Linked DNA regions of Lonchura striata. The protein of the gene in region 1 purifies or fractionates together with the protein of each later gene. This does not show direct contact. Links are inferred from orthologs where the notes say so. Each region holds a gene or a part of one and is shown on either strand. Other genes may lie near its edges.

Region 1 (7,250 bases):
GAGCTGTCCTTTTTGCTGTTACACTTCATTAAATTGCCCGGTGACATTCACTGTGTGGGGACAGGGCAAGGAATCCAGGGATTCCCTGCTGACTGACCCCTCTGTTCAGGTTCCAGGGCTCCCACAGCCAGCAGCCCTCTGTGACACATCCCAGCTCCAGGCCTGGGATTAGGGAGGGCTCCTGTGTTCACCTGACAGGGAAAAGGCCTTGGCTTTGTTTTGCCACGGAGCTGCCCGTTGGGAAAACGTGTCCAGAGGGAAGTTCCTGTTTGGAAGTGGCTCTTTGGGTGTTGCAGAACTGGGATCCCCATCCAGTATCCTTAGCAGCCTGCAGCATTCCTGAGGCTTCTTTATTCTGGATAAAAGGAGGCAATTTGAATTATTTCCATCTGAGCTGATGCTGAGTTAAGCTCCAACCCCTGCAGAGCAGAGCTCCAACCTCTGTCCCTGCACCTCAGGTGGGCTCTCCCTGCCTGCCAGAAGTTCTGGGTGCACCCTCGACCGCTGAGCTGCCTCTTCTGTGTCCTGCAATGTGAAAGTAGCACCAGATACTCCTTCGTGCAGTTCTGTGTATATGGCTTTCGTAGGTGGGTTTTCCAAGCACTGATTCCCGGTGTTTTCAGTTTGTCTATGAGGGGATATTTTATTTGCATCTATGTTTTTAGCTCTCCTGTGATAACTTGTTGAATATTAAAAAAAAAAATATTTTGCTTCTATTGGGACATTTGTATACTCGCAACTATATTTCTGTAAACAGCTGCAGTCGAGAATAAACGATGAAAGTTTTCATTTTACACTGTAAAGTCTTGTGATGGTTTTTCCAAGGGCATCTCCAGAGCCGTGCCTGGGGTGCTGCAGCTGCTGCAGGAGAACGTCCTGGGGAACCACACTGACTCGGTGGTGTGGGACCCCAGTAACCCCTGGGGGCTGCCCAACCCAGCCCCCAGCTTGTGACCAAGGGAACAGTTCCCAAAGGAACAGCTTCCAGAGCCTGGGATGTCATTTTGGGGACTGGGGGAGAGGCAGTCTGCCCAGAGAGGTGAGGCCAGGAGTCCAAAGCCAAGATGCTGCAGTGACCCCATCCTCAGCAGGATGTGAGCGTGCCTTACCCAGTGCCCTTTATCTGCAGCTTTGGCAGCCTGGAAGTGCCCTGGGGCTGGGGAGGCCCAGCTGTGCTCCCCTTGGCTGTTCCCAACCTGTGACCTCCCCAGCACCAGGGGCCACAGCTGCTGTCAGGCATTTCCTTATTTTGAACAATTTCAGCAGGGCTAAGGAGAAACTGCAGCAAGAGCCGGGACCAACAGTCAGCTGTGAAAGATTTCAGCAGATCCCAGAGTTTCCCCCTTCAGCCATGGGCATCGCCCAGTGCAAGGGTGGGACACAAGCCCCTGCCCTGGGGTTTTGTCCTTCTGTAGCTCATTATCCCGTGGGACAAACGATCCAAGAACTCCTCCCTCCCTCCGTCCCAGCCTCCTTTTTCCTCGAGGCTCAGAGAAAGGCACAGGCAGCCGCAGAAATGGGACTGAGCCACGGTGCTTTGGGGTTTGGTGTTTATTGGGTGACACAGCCCCTGCCCGGGGGTGCCCAGGGAAGCCCCCGCGCCCTCCCCGTGCTGGGGCCTCCCCAAACCCGTCACCCCCGTCACGGCGGCTCTGGGCACCAGCGCAGCGGGGACAGGACGGCCTGAGCCGTGCCAGGTGCTGGGAGCGGCCCTGGCAGAGCCAGCACCAGCCCTGGGCAGGTGTGCCCGGGGCCCGTCCCGCCCTCACCTCCTCCTCACGAACTTCTTGGTGACGGCGTTGGGGTTGAGGCGGCGGCGGCCGGCGCCCAGGGCGGCGTCGCGCAGCTGCAGGTGCGCGGCCCGGCTGTGCACGTCGTTCTCGGCGAAGGGGGAGGCCCCGGCCAGGTAGTCGGGGTCGAAGACGTCGGTTTTCTGCCGGGCCTTGCGGGACAGGCGCTGCTGCGGGAAGCGCTGGTCCTCCACCAGGTGCGGGTTGTTGGCGTGCTTGCCGCCCTGCGGCGCCGGCAGCGGGTACTGCGGGAGAGCGGGGTCAGCCCCGGCTCCGGGGACCCCAGGTGACCCCAGCCCCAGAGCCCTGGGGTCCAAGGGCAACATCTGGAGGATGTTAGCAGTTTGCTTTGATTCCTTCCAGCCTGCCAGCCACAGGCCGGGCTCCCATCCCTGGGATCCCAGTGGAAGAATTCCTTCACAGAAAGAGTTGTTCAAGGTGGGAAGGGGTGCCCAGGGAGGAGGTGGGGTCCCCATCCTGGGAGGCGTGCAAGGAAATGACTGGACCTGGCACTGAGTGCTCAGGGCTGGCTGACAAGGGGAGGATTAGTCCCAAGTTGGATTTGATGCTCTTGCTGGTCCTTTCCAACCTCAGCGAGTCTGGGGTTCTGTCCAGGTACTCACCCTGAGCCCCCGGGGGTTCAGCACCTTGGGGTTGCGGGAGAAGTGCATGTGGAGACTCCCGTCGTCGCTGACGCTCACTGCCACCTTCTTGAGCGTCTTGTTACCGCAGTGGGGGCAGAACACCTTGGTCATGTCCGAGGTGGTCCTGCGAGGGGGGCACGGGGGGTTCAGAGCTCCTGGGGCCGTGAACACAGGCTCAGCCCGGGCTCAGCCCCAGCCCTGGCACCTGAAGCAGCCGTGGCAGCGCAGGATGTAGCTGCGGGCCCGGCGGATCAGCATCCCGTTCACGGCCAGCACGTGGAGACCCATCTGCAGCAGCACGTTCTGCGAGAGCGGGGACACAGCTGGGACCTGCAGCTGGGGCACTCGGAGCCCTGCAGGCTCTGCAAGGCCTCTGGGACTGAGACCCTGCTGCGTGACACACGGAGCTGTCCCAGAGCCCTGCAGCTCGGCACCCACCTGCATGGCAAAGTCCGTGGTGACACAGCCCACCTGGACACCGACGGGAGCAGTGTCACAGTGCCCCGCGTCCAGCTGGGCCTGCTTCAGGTTGCTGGGAGTTATCCAGCCTTCGTCATCGCTCTCCTCATCCTCCTCCTCCTCCTCCTCCTCCTCCTCCTCTTCGCCGGCGCTGGTCCCGTCTGCAGGGCCCCGGCGCTCCTCGGGGGGCTCGGGGCTGCCGGTGATGGCCTGGGCCGCGGGGGGAGATGGTCAGGGCGGCCCGGAGGGTCGGAACGACCCGGCAGAGAGGCAGAGCGAGACTGCAGAAGGTTCTCACCAGCAGCTCCTGCAGCTCCTCCTCGATGCTGGGCAGGGGCGGCCGCCAGTACAGGAAGGAGCCGAACTCGTCGCTCTCGGCCGGGGCCGGGGCCGGGCCGGGCTGGCGGGGACCCTTCCCCGCGGGTTTGTGCTGGGGGCACACACGGGCGAGCTCAGCCGCGGCTCCGCGGGGCCGGGCTCGCCCTCCCGCCGGGCCTTACCTTGGCGGGCAGGTGGAAACCGGCGAGGTGCAGGGGAGCCTCGGGGTGCCGCAGGGTGGAGCTGAGCCGCACCTGGGGGCGGCACGGGCCGTCGGTGGGGCTCTGGAACCGGGGCCCGGGCCCCGCTGGAACCGGGGCTCCGTGTCCCGCTGGAACTGGGGCCCGGGCCCCGCTGGAACCGGGACCCCGCGCCCATCCTACCTTATCCTGCGGCTCCCAGCGGATGCTGCCGGGGCCGTGGATCTCGGCCTGCAGCTGGCAGGTGAGGGCGAGCACCTGCAGGTCGGCGGCCGAGAGGCTCGGGTAGTCCCCGGTCTTCTTGGAGAACTCGGTCACTGCGGGCGGAGCAGCGGCGCCGTCAGGCCGGGCCGGGCCGGGCGGGGAAGGGGCCGGGCGGGGAAGGGGCCGGGCGGGCCCTGCCGCACTCACCGAGCCGCAGCAGGTCGGGGCGCGGGCGGCGCACCCGCAGCTCGCAGGGCAGCGCGGCCAGGCGGCGGCGCGCCCGCCGGTCGCGGATCTCGGCCAGCACCTCGGGCACGGTGTACAGCGCGTCCGCCACGTCCTGCGGGCAGCGCCGTCACACCGGCCCGCAGCCCCTCACCCTCCCCACCCCCGTCCCCGCGGTGTCCCCGCGGTGTCCCCGCGGTGTCCCCGCTGTCCCCCTGTCCCCGGTACCTGCAGCGGGGCCGCGCTCAGGAACGCGCCCGTGTCGGCCACGACGTGCGGAACACGCGCCATGTCCGCGCGCCCCGTGGCCCGGCCCGGCCGCCGTCGCGGCGCCGCGGGGGGCACGCCGGGAGTTGTGGTCCGGGCACGGGGCACGCCGGGAGTTGTAGTTCGGCCGGGCACGCCGGGAGCGGCGCCGCGCCGCGGGAGCGCTTCCGGCCGGCGCGGTCACGTGACGGGCCGGGGTCACATGACGGCGGGAGCCGGAGCCGGGCAGCGGGAGAGGAGCGGCTGCCGGTAACGGGACCGGGACGGGAACGGGACGGGGACGGGGACGGGGACGGGGACGGGGACGGGAACGGGAACGGGACCGGGAACGGAACGGGACGGGAACGGGAACGGGACCGGGACCGGAACCGGGACCGGGGACGGGAACGGAAAAGGGAACGGGAACGGGACGGAATCGGAATGGGAACGGGATGGGACCGGGACGGGAACGGGAACGGAAAAGGGAACGGGAACGGGACGGAATCGGAATGGGGACGGGAACCGGAACGGGGACGGGACGGGCTCGGCTCGGTTTCGCTTCCCGGCCCAGCCTGGGGCGCTCCCGTCCATCGGGCGGACACGGCCCGGTGGGGCGCTCCGGCCGCCGGGAGCTGCTCAGCTGTGCCGGTCCCGGCCCGGTACCGGCGGGGCCGCGGGCAGCCCCTTCGCCGCCGCCTCCCGTGCGCGGTGCCTGCCGCGCCCGGCCCGGCTCTGTGCGGGGCCGGTCCCGGTCCCGGTTCGGTGTCGGCCGCCCGGGCGCGGCCCCGCGGCTGTCCCGAGGCCGGGCCGGGCTGGCGGAACGGGGAGCCCGGGAGGAAGGGCGGCCCCGGCCCGGCCGAGGGGATCCCGCCGGGCGGAGGGGGCGGGAGCGCCCCGGGGCCGGCCCGGTCACGGCCCCGCCGCGCTGGGGGTGCCCGGGGAGCGGCAGCGGGCACCGGGCGATGTCCGGGAGCCGGAGGTGCTGGCGAGAGCGGCGCTGTCACAGCGAGGGACGGAGAAGTGCGGAGTCGGGGGAAGGGGAAGAGCCGGGAGGGCAAGGAGGGAGGCAGGGAGCCCCGGCGGGGCAGGGCTGGGTACGGCCCCGGTGGAATCCCCGCAGTGGGGAGCTGGGGACGGGAGCAGCAGCAGGATCCGATATCCTCGGGAGCCCGGGGAGAGCCGTGGGCCGGGATGACGGGGATGTGTCCGGGATGGCTGGGATGGGTCCGGGATAGCGGGGATGGGTCTGGGATGGCTGGGATGGGTCTGGGATGGCTGGGATGGGTCCGGGATGGCTGGGATGGGTCCGGGATAGCGGGGATGGGTCTGGGATCCCTGGGGTGGGTCTGGGATCCCTGGGACGAGTGACCCAGGAGGCTGGGCAGTGTCCGGGAACGCTGGCTGCTGCTGGATGGAGCCAGGACAGTGCTCGGGCAGTGCCCAGCGGGCACCTGCAGGCAGAGCTGGGGGCTGTACAGGGCACAGCCAGGCCCTGGGCTGCCAGGCAGGTTTGCTGTGACCCTGGGAGAGGGGATTTCACAGGGATCTGCCCTGGGATGGAGCTTGGGACGGTTCAAGGAGGATGAAGAGAGAGGGCAGGGAAGAGGCTCCTGCACAGGGAGAGGGGCTGGAGCTGCTTCCCCGTTTTCGTGCTTCCCTGTTGGGGAGGGGAGGCTGGCACTGCCTGGCCGGGCGGTTCTGGGCTGGGCTGGGAGCTTGGCTCCCGTGCTCTGCAGCTCCTGGGAGCGGCAGGAGGAGCTGGCTGCTCATCCCTGCGCTCTGCTCGCTGCTTCGGGTACCCGCCCTGGCCACGCGTCCCACGATGGTGCTGGAGGCCTTTCCCAGCCTCAGTGATCCTGTGGGATTAATGAAGCCAGGGCTGCCCTTGAGGTCTGTGGTCCTCATGCTGTGACTAGACCTCTGTCTGTCCAGCTGGTCCTGGCACAGCCATGTCCCCGTGGCACTGCCGTGTCCCCGTGGCACTGCCGTGTCTGCCCGGCACTGCCGTGTCCCTGCCATCATGTGTGCTGAGTCTGTGTCCCCCAGGGCAAGGCTTTGGTGGCTGCTCTGTCCCGCAGCAGCCCTGGGCTGTGGCTCAGGGGTTCAGGTGCCCAGAGAGGTGTTTGGAGTGGCAGTGCCCAGCTCAGCCCGTGGCACTGCCATGCAGGGGCTGCTCTCCCAGGGACACAGCGCTGCCTTTGGCATGGGGGGTTCATCAGGAGAGGAGCCTGTGTGCCCCGGGTCTTGCCCAGCCCTTTTCCGGGCACTGCAGCAGCCTCGGGCCGTGCCTGGGTGCCGTGGCAGCGGGGCTGAGCGGGGCTGAGTGTCTCCTTCTCCTTTCCAGCCGGGGGTGATGCCATGGCCGCTGCCAGCTCCAGCAGGGCCAGGGCCGGGCCGCCCTGCGAGAAGTCCCCGCTGTCTGTGAAAGGTGGGTCCTGCTGCCCCTCCGGGATTGCCCCTGCCGGGAACGTGTCCCGCTCTGCCCGCGGGGAGCAGGGCCCGGGGGTGGTGGCCGCGGGCCCGGGGCCGTGCCGGTGCTGCCGTGGCCGCGAGATGGCTCCCGGCGCCCGGAGCCGCGCCCCGGGGAGCCGCAGCCCGCCCTGCCCCTCCGCCACACCGCCGCCCTGGCGCTGCCCCGGCCCGGCTTGCCCCTGCCCTGGGGCAGGGAGGTGGCCGTGGGGACAGCGACAGTCCCCTCGGAGGGGTGAGGCTGGGACGTGCTCAGGGCTTGATGCCAGCCATCGCTGCCACCAGGAGCATTGCTCCCTGCTGCCCCTCTCCAAGTGCTCTGCTGCGAGTGTGGCACCCGAGCTGGCAGGGGCGGGCTGGGGGACAGGGCAGGGACGGGGCAGGGGTCAGCGTGTCCCGCAGGCCTGACCTGTGCTCGTCCCTGCCCAGTGGTGTCCGTGAAGCCCAAGGCCCAGAGCCGCTCAGCACGGATGAACTGCTATGTGGAGGTGGCTGGCGACGGGCTGCCCAGTGAGACCAAGAAGACGGGGAAGCAGATGGGGGTCTCTGAGCTGCTGTGGAACGAGATCCTCACCCTGTGAGTCTGTGTGACCCCTGGTCAGGGGCCGGCCCCGTGTGCCCTGCCGTGCCACTGGCTGCCACTCGGGTGGCAGAGCTTTGCCCCGTGTACGGGGACACTGCCAGAGACAGCCAGG
Region 2 (7,815 bases), on another chromosome or scaffold:
AAAACTTAACAGATCATGCAGTTTTGCATTCAGAGTCTTACTATGACTTTATTAGTGGATATTAATATAACTTTGCTCATACATGTTTGTTCATTATGAGTTTGGATATATCATTTTAAATGGAGTAAAAATAAAGGTAAAATGGTGTAAAGACCTAAACCTGAAGAGTTATACTTTAAGTTCATAGATGAAAATCACACACATCTGTACAATGCTGGCTACAGTGGCACACGGTGCTCTCAGTGGTTATCTCCACAAGGATCTGCCATCACACTGGCACTCCACAGAAAATACATAATTACTGTTGGAAAGCTTAAAAAACTCCTATTAAAAACCAGATTTCTCCTGATGAATTAGAAGGAAAGCATATTACAAAATAGATTTGTGCTGGTAACAGGATATCCTTGTTGTTCCTACATTTGATTACAGGGAGATGTTTAGCTGAGCACTTTGTAAGGTCTGTGTAGATGCAATGAGTTATTCCAGGAGCTGTGTTTAGACTGTGGCAACACAGGAATTACCATGATAGGTCTGTCTTACAATCTGCTCCTCAATACCTCCAGCAAGGATCAAAGCTTTTTGGCCTGGAATATGGAATATTAGAGACTTGGTTCATGATAAATTACATTTGGCCAAGTGTTTTTTTCCAATAGGTTTATTTTAGGATGTCACCAGTAAAGCTGCCTGAAAGTTCCTTTAGTCAGTGACTATTTTAATCAACCTCACCTTACTTTTCTACGCATATTTCATCCATAAATGCCAAAACAGTCATTATTGGTGAGGAAGAAGCCAGTGCATTTTAAAAATAACAAAAGGTCAGGTACTCTGCTATGTTTGGTTTGTTGCAGCAGCTGAGCAATATTTACTATGGGGTTTATAAGTTTATTTTTTAAATTCCTAAAAAAAAAACCAAAAAAAAAAAAAAAAAAAAGGTGGGTGAAGCACTTTCCATTCAGGAACATTTTTATTTTGCTCTTGATACCTTAACCAAACACATCGGTGATAATAAAATTAATCTTTCATGATAGCCTCTTTAACTGCATCTGTAAAATCTTGTTTTTGTACACTTAAGTAGAAGTTTTGTTTTCCTTGGGGGAAAACAAAAAGGGGAATTGATAACTTAAACTTCTGTGAGCTGCCTACTGCTCTGAGAATTACAATGCTCAGAGTTGACAGGTTATTTGAGAAGCCATCAGGATTCCAAGTGATTTTAAATGCTTCTCTCCTCAATCTGGCATGGATTTCCTTGTTTTCTCGTAAGCCTAATTGAAATTGTTTAATTTGCCAGATGTTCCCCAAGATATTTCCATTCCATCTTCCTGAATGTCTTTCTGCTTGTATCACTTAGAAAATTATTTTCCAGTTTCTCTGCTATGCTCATTATCCAGATAGAAAATATTAAAAATCTATTATTTGATCTCTTCATATTCTTCTAATTTATTTTTAATTCATTCCTTTACCATTCACCTAGGCTCAGATACAAGTTTATGAGAATAGGAGTGTTTTCATAATAAATCCTTCAACAGTCTATTTTTGTCTTTCTTTAAGGGCACAGGATGACATAGTAAGGGCTAATAAGATGATTACTTTAAGAGTCTTCAATTAGGCACTTACATGTGAGCTCCCTAGGGAAAACATTGCTCCACAAGTTATTTTGCTGGCAGTGTTGGGAGAATTATCTTCATTTTCAGCCTGCCTATGACTTTTAAGGGTCTGTAGATTGCTTCTGGATAGTCTGAAAATTAACCTTCCTTATGAAGTATGTTATTTATGATATCAATACTCCCTCCTTACAGCCTGAAGTCTATTAATCACAGTAAGCTAGACAGAAATTCTGGCACAGTCACAATTTTCCTAAGGTTAGAGTTTGCTGTCCAGCTGGAGGATGTTCTGGTAGTGAAATGAAGTTGTTTGTAGCTGCCTGACCCACTGGTGTGAAGGAAGATGCATTTGATGTCTGGGTGCCCCTGGGCAGGCGGATGCTGCTGTGCAGACTGGTGAGGGGCACCAGTGCAGCTTTGAGCTCTTTGGTTATTTCTTAAAGAACAGAGCAGAAGAGTTTGCTCACGTGAAGGGCGAGTACTGTTTCCCTCGGTGTCCCCACACTCCTGCTCTTGGGCCCTGCTTTGTGCCTTGTAAGACTTTGGGTTCATGATCACACAATTGATTAGGTTGGAAAAGACCTCTAAGGTCATTGAGTCCAACCTTTGAGTGAAAACCACCATGTCAACTAGACCATCCACCGAGCGCCACCTCCAATCTTTCCTCAAACACCTCCAGGGACGGTGACCCCACCACCTCCCTAGGCAGCCCACTTCAATGTCTAATCATCCTTTCAGTGGAGAAATCCATGATATTCAACACAAGCCTCCCCTGGCCCACCTTAATACTGTGTCCTGTCGTCGCCTGTGGGAAGAGGCTGACCCCACCTGGGTACACCCTCCTGTTAGGGACTTGCAGTCTCGGTCTGTCGCAGCTGTTTGCCCTCTGTTCATACATACCACGTTCAGCATCCCGCTGCTCTCCCTCTCAAAAAGCAGCTAATTACTGAGCGAGCTTAAACACACCTCTGAGAGCTGTTTAGTTGGCACTCAGCCTCCCTGCTCCCGCTGCTTCTCCTCCGTGCCCACAGCGGCAGCCGAGCTCCTTTATCCTCAGCAGCGCCCAGGACAGAACCGGCCGCCGCCCTTCAGAGAGGGACAAGCAGCCGCGCCCTCAGCCCGCACGGAGGAGAGAGCCGCTCCCGCCCTCCACCGGGACTGGGACCTCAGCTCTCACCCGGGTAGAGCCGCTCCCACCCTCCACCGGGACTGGGACCTCGGCTTTCACCCGGGTAGAGCCGTGCCCGCCCTCCACCGGGACTGGGACCTCAGCTCTCACCCGGGTAGAGCCGCTCCCGCCCTCCACCGGGACTGGGACCTCACCCGGGTACAGCCCTCAGCCCTTATCCGGGCAGTGCCCTCAGCTTTCACCCGGGTAGAGCCGCTCCCGCCCTCCACCGGGACTGGGACCTCAGCTTTCACCCGGGTAGAGCCGTGCCCACCCTCCACCGGGACAGGGACCTCGGCTTTCACCCGGGTAGAGCCGTGCCCGCCCCTCACCGGGACTGGGACCTCAGCTTTCACCCGGGTAGAGCCGCTCCCACCCTCCACCGGGACAGTGCCCTCACCCGGGTACAGCCCTCAGCCCTTATCCGGGCAGTGCCCTCAGCTCTCACCCGGGTAGAGCCGCTCCCGCCCTCCACCGGGACTGGGACCTCAGCTTTCACCCGGGTAGAGCCGTGCCCGCCCTCCACCGGGACAGTGCCCTCACCCGGGTACAGCCCTCAGCCCTTATCCGGGCAGTGCCCTCAGCTTTCACCCGGGTAGAGCCGCTCCCGCCCTCCACCGGGACTGGGACCTCAGCTCTCACCCGGGCAGAGCCGTTCCTGCCCCTCACCGGGACAGAGACCTCGGCTTTCACCCGGGTAGAGCCGTGCCCGCCCCTCACCCGGGACAGGGACCTCAGCTCTCACCCGGGTAGAGCCGTGCCCGCCCCTCACCCGGGCACAGCCCTCAGCCCTTATCCAGGCAGTGCCCTCAGCTCTCACCCGGGCAGAGCCGTTGCCGGCCCCTCACCGGGGCAGATCTCTCAGCCCTCACCCGGGCAGTGCCGTTCCCGCCCCTCACCCGGGCAGTGCCCTCACCCGCGCACAGCCCTCAGCCCTTATCCGGGCAGAGCCCTCATCCCCCAGCCGGGCAGTGCCGTTCCCGCCCCTCACCCGGGCAGTGCCCTCACCCGGGTACAGCCCTCAGCCCTTATCCGGGCAGTGCCCTCATCCCCCAGCCGGGCAGTGCCGTTCCCGCCCCTCACCCGGGCAGTGCCCTCACCCGGGTACAGCCCTCAGCCCTTATCCGGGCAGTGCCCTCAGCCCTCACCCGGGCAGAGCCGTGCCCGCCCCTCACCCGGGCAGTGCCCTCACCCGGGCAGAGCCCTCAGCCCCCAGCCGGGCAGAGCCGTGCCCGCCCCTCACCCGGGCAGTGCCCTCATCCCCCAGCCGGGCAGAGCCGTGCCCGCCCCTCACCCGGGCAGTGCCCTCATCCCCCAGCCGGGCAGAGCCGTGCCCGCCCCTCACCCGGGCAGTGCCCTCACCCGGGCAGAGCCCTCAGCCCCCAGCCGGGCAGAGCCGTGCCCGCCCCTCACCCGGGCAGTGCCCTCACCCGGGCAGAGCCCTCAGCCCCCAGCCGGGCAGAGCCGTGCCCGCCCCTCACCCGGGCAGTGCCCTCACCCGGGCAGTGCCCTCAGCCCCCAGCCGGGCAGTGCCCTCAGCCCCCAGCCGGGCAGAGCCGTGCCCGCCCCTCACCCGGGCAGTGCCCTCACCCGCGCACAGCCCTCAGCCCTTATCCGGGCAGTGCCCTCAGCCCCCAGCCGGGCAGAGCCGTGCCCGCCCCTCACCCGGGCAGTGCCCTCAGCCCCCAGCCGGGCAGAGCCGTGCCCGCCCCTCACCCGGGCAGTGCCCTCAGCCCCCAGCCGGGCAGAGCCGTGCCCGCCCCTCACCCGGGCAGTGCCCTCAGCCCTCACCCGGGCAGTGCCCTCATCCCCCAGCCGGGCAGAGCCGTGCCCGCCCCTCACCCGGGCAGTGCCCTCACCCGCGCACAGCCCTCAGCCCTTATCCGGGCAGAGCCGTGCCCGCCCCTCACCCGGGCAGTGCCCTCAGCCCCCAGCCGGGCAGAGCCGTGCCCGCCCCCGCCCAGAGAGCCGCCCGCCTGCCGTGAGGCGGGGCCGCCCTTTCCGCCGTGGCTTTCCGGTGATGGCGGCGGGCGGCAGCGACCCGCGGACGGCGGACGTGGAGGAGGACGCCTCGCAGCTCGTCTTCCCCAAAGGTGCGAGCGGGGCCGGCGAGGAGCGCGGGGTCGGCTGGTCGGAGGCCGGCAATGGCCGCCTGTGAGGGTGCGCGCCTCGCCGAGCGGCTCCGTGGACCGGAGCGCTGCTCAAAGCCCCTCCAGCAGCTACTAAGCCCCCAGTGTTAAAAATCAGGATAACAAATGATTTATATATGTTTAAGGATCTCATGGTTTCTAGGATGTGGCGGTTCTTAGGTGGGCTTCTAGGCGTGTATAGGGTATTTGAAAAATAATTTTTAAAATCCTGCCAGGTTGTAGAGAAAATGTTGGTTTTTGATATAAGGTTTTTCAGTGATGTTTGTTGACACAGGAGTTCTTCCCTGTGAGGGAGGTGAGGCCCTGGCACAGGGTGCCCGGAGAAGCTGTGGCTGCCCGATTCCTGGAAATGTCCCAGGCCAGGCTGGACAGGGCTTGGAGCAACCTGGGACAGTGGAAGATGTCCCTGCTCAGGGCAAGGGTGGAACTGTATGGGCTTTTTATGGTGCCTTCCAACATAAGCTGTTCTGGAAATCTGTGAATACAAAATTAGCTGCAGTTAGGAAACCAGCTGTCCAGACCCAGAGTGTATTTTTTTTTTTCCAGAAAATTAATGCAGTATAATATCTAGAAGTGTATTTACACCTCAGAGCCACCCTGCCCAGTGAAAGAGCTCACACAAGTCCATGAAAGACATTTTCACTTCTTTATTACCCAGATCTAAATTACACACCAAACTTGTGCAATTCCCCTATTTAAACACATTCCCCTTTTTTCCATGCTGTCATTCCCTCATTCGGGCTGCAGAATTTGAAACTGCGGAAACTCTGCTGAACTCCGAGGTGCACATGCTGCTCGAGCACCGCAAGCAGCAGAACGAGAGCGCGGAGGATGAGCAGGAGCTGTCAGAAGTCTTCATGAAAACCTTGAACTACACAGCGCGCTTCAGCCGCTTCAAAAACCGCGAAACCATCGCCAGCGTGCGCAGGTGAGCGGGAAAGTCGGGGTGGAACAAACACCGTGTCGGAAAATTGGATCTCTCATACTGGTCCTGCTTTACAAAAGTACATCTTAGTGGTGTTGGTGATTTGTTCTTTAATTCTGAGTCTTTTGGCTTCCTAATGAGGCAAGAAGTTCTTGATGGAAGGTTATGCTTTGTCCAGGTCAAGCCTTCTGGACTGCTTTGTTTTCAGTATTTCACTGACAGCTGATTGCATTAAATTGGGAGGATTTTCTAGACTTTGCAGAATAATTCAGGGGAAGTGGTGTTAGCAGATAGGATTTTGTTTTTTACTCTATGCATTTATTTAATGAGTCTTTTTTCTTTAAAAAAAATTACTTCAGTGCCAAAACCAGTGTGCAAAAAGATAAGCATTTGTCTCAGTTTAAGCCCTTTTATGTTTCTGTCTTGTGATTCCATCAAATTGTTGTCTTTCCTTACAGCTTACTGCTACAGAAGAAGCTCCATAAGTTTGAACTGGCATGTTTGGCTAACTTGTGTCCTGAGACAGCTGAGGAAGCAAAAGCTCTGATTCCTAGGTAAGCACCTATATATTGTACAAAGGCTGCTGTATCCTTCCCTGTGATCTAAAGCCAGCCATGCCCTGGTATCCTCTCTTCAATCCAGCTGCCTTGCTGGAAAAACATTTGGTCTTAGTCTTTCTTCCCCTACCCACTGATCTGACAGCAACACACTTTGTACATGTCCCTAATGCACTTCTGAGAGCTTTTACTGGATCAAGTGCAAACCTCTTAAATCGGGGTTCTTAGCTGGCTGTGTTTGTGTTCCTTGGAGTGTTTTCTGTTGGAGCAGAGGAACTGTTTTGTGGATAATGTTGTGGGAGCAGCAACCAATCAAGACATCTTCATGTCTTGTTTGGTTACCTCATGGCCTGAGATAGAGGAGGGAATGAAACATTCATCTGAATTACAGTTTCTTCCTTATTCATCATTATATAAAAGGGAAGGCTTTGGGATGATCTAACTATGGGCTCCCAGTACCTGGAAAGAGACTTTTTACGAGAGTAGTGACAGGACGAGGGAATGGCCTCAGCTGAGGGTAGATTTAGATTAGATACTGGGGAGAAATTCATCCCTGTGAGGGTGGTGAGGCCCTGGCACAGGGTGCCCAGAGAAGCTGTGGCTGCCCCATCCCTGGAAGTGTCCAAAGCCAGGCTGGATGTGGCTCTGAACAACTTGGTCTAGTGCAATGTGTCCCTCCCTATCCATGGCAGGGGGTTGGAATGAGTTCATCTTCAACATCCCTTCCAACCCAAACCATTCCATGATTTTATGTTAGGATTTCATAGCAAGAATGGACTGGCTTATGAGCATGCAGCTACATGGACTTCATTTAGAGTTCTGCTTACACCTGCCTTGCCTTTTTTGAAAACAAGTTGTGAAATTTCTGGGAAGAAGGAGTTTTGTCATGTAAAGAGGAAGCAGTGCATAGGGATTAGAGCACTCTTTGTAAAGTGATGTCAAAGGTGGTTCCTAGTGGTCACAGGTAGGTGACACAGTGTGTTGAGACTGACAGGAGAGAGTTATGACTGAAATAAATCAAGGGAGAGAGATGATTTCTGAAACCTTTAATGTCTCTTTATTGCTCTTACCTTGCAGCCTGGAGGGCCGGTTTGAAGATGAAGAATTACAACAGATTCTTGACGACATTCAGACTAAACGCAGCTTCCAGTATTAAGGTTAACCCTCAGCCCCTTTATCTGAGCAGAAAAACCTGAAGAGCTGGGCTGTTTCTCAGCCCTCTGGATCAGTCCAGCTCCCAGCTGAGTGAGAGCAGTTGTGGATGCAGGGTGCTCCAGTGCTGTGTTGCCACAGGTGCATTCAGACTGGAGATCAGCATTGTCCTTTTGGTTTGTTCCATGTGTATGTTGACAAGGACCCCCTGTATTGTGAGAGCAAAGAACCTGAAAGGCCTTTTCCCAGTGGCTCAAGTATT

Evidence for each region. The genes of interacting proteins can lie anywhere in the genome.
Region 2: the proteins of WWP2 (region 1) and POLR2D purify together in Homo sapiens (affinity purification with mass spectrometry; 3 studies listed by BioGRID and IntAct, with this or other methods). This does not show direct contact. The link is inferred for Lonchura striata from reciprocal best matches to the Homo sapiens genes WWP2 and POLR2D.

The regions. Positions count from the first base shown.
Region 1 is NC_134615.1:23,108,270-23,115,519, forward strand, and holds the start of WWP2 (NEDD4-like E3 ubiquitin-protein ligase WWP2), read left to right. Parts: upstream 1-4,243; 5' UTR 4,244-4,356; intron 4,357-6,430; 5' UTR 6,431-6,444; coding exon 6,445-6,514; intron 6,515-6,984; coding exon 6,985-7,132; intron 7,133-7,250. Other genes in the region: RNA-binding protein NOB1, read right to left, coding at 1,766-2,035, 2,414-2,558, 2,640-2,737, 2,873-3,103, 3,192-3,323, 3,394-3,465, 3,595-3,728, 3,823-3,955 and 1 more. UniProt on the Homo sapiens protein: E3 ubiquitin-protein ligase which accepts ubiquitin from an E2 ubiquitin-conjugating enzyme in the form of a thioester and then directly transfers the ubiquitin to targeted substrates.
Region 2 is NC_134612.1:4,369,520-4,377,334, forward strand, and holds the start of POLR2D (DNA-directed RNA polymerase II subunit RPB4), read left to right. Parts: upstream 1-4,765; 5' UTR 4,766-4,789; coding exon 4,790-4,862; intron 4,863-5,666; coding exon 5,667-5,847; intron 5,848-6,302; coding exon 6,303-6,398; intron 6,399-7,478; coding exon 7,479-7,557; 3' UTR 7,558-7,815. UniProt on the Homo sapiens protein: Core component of RNA polymerase II (Pol II), a DNA-dependent RNA polymerase which synthesizes mRNA precursors and many functional non-coding RNAs using the four ribonucleoside triphosphates as substrates.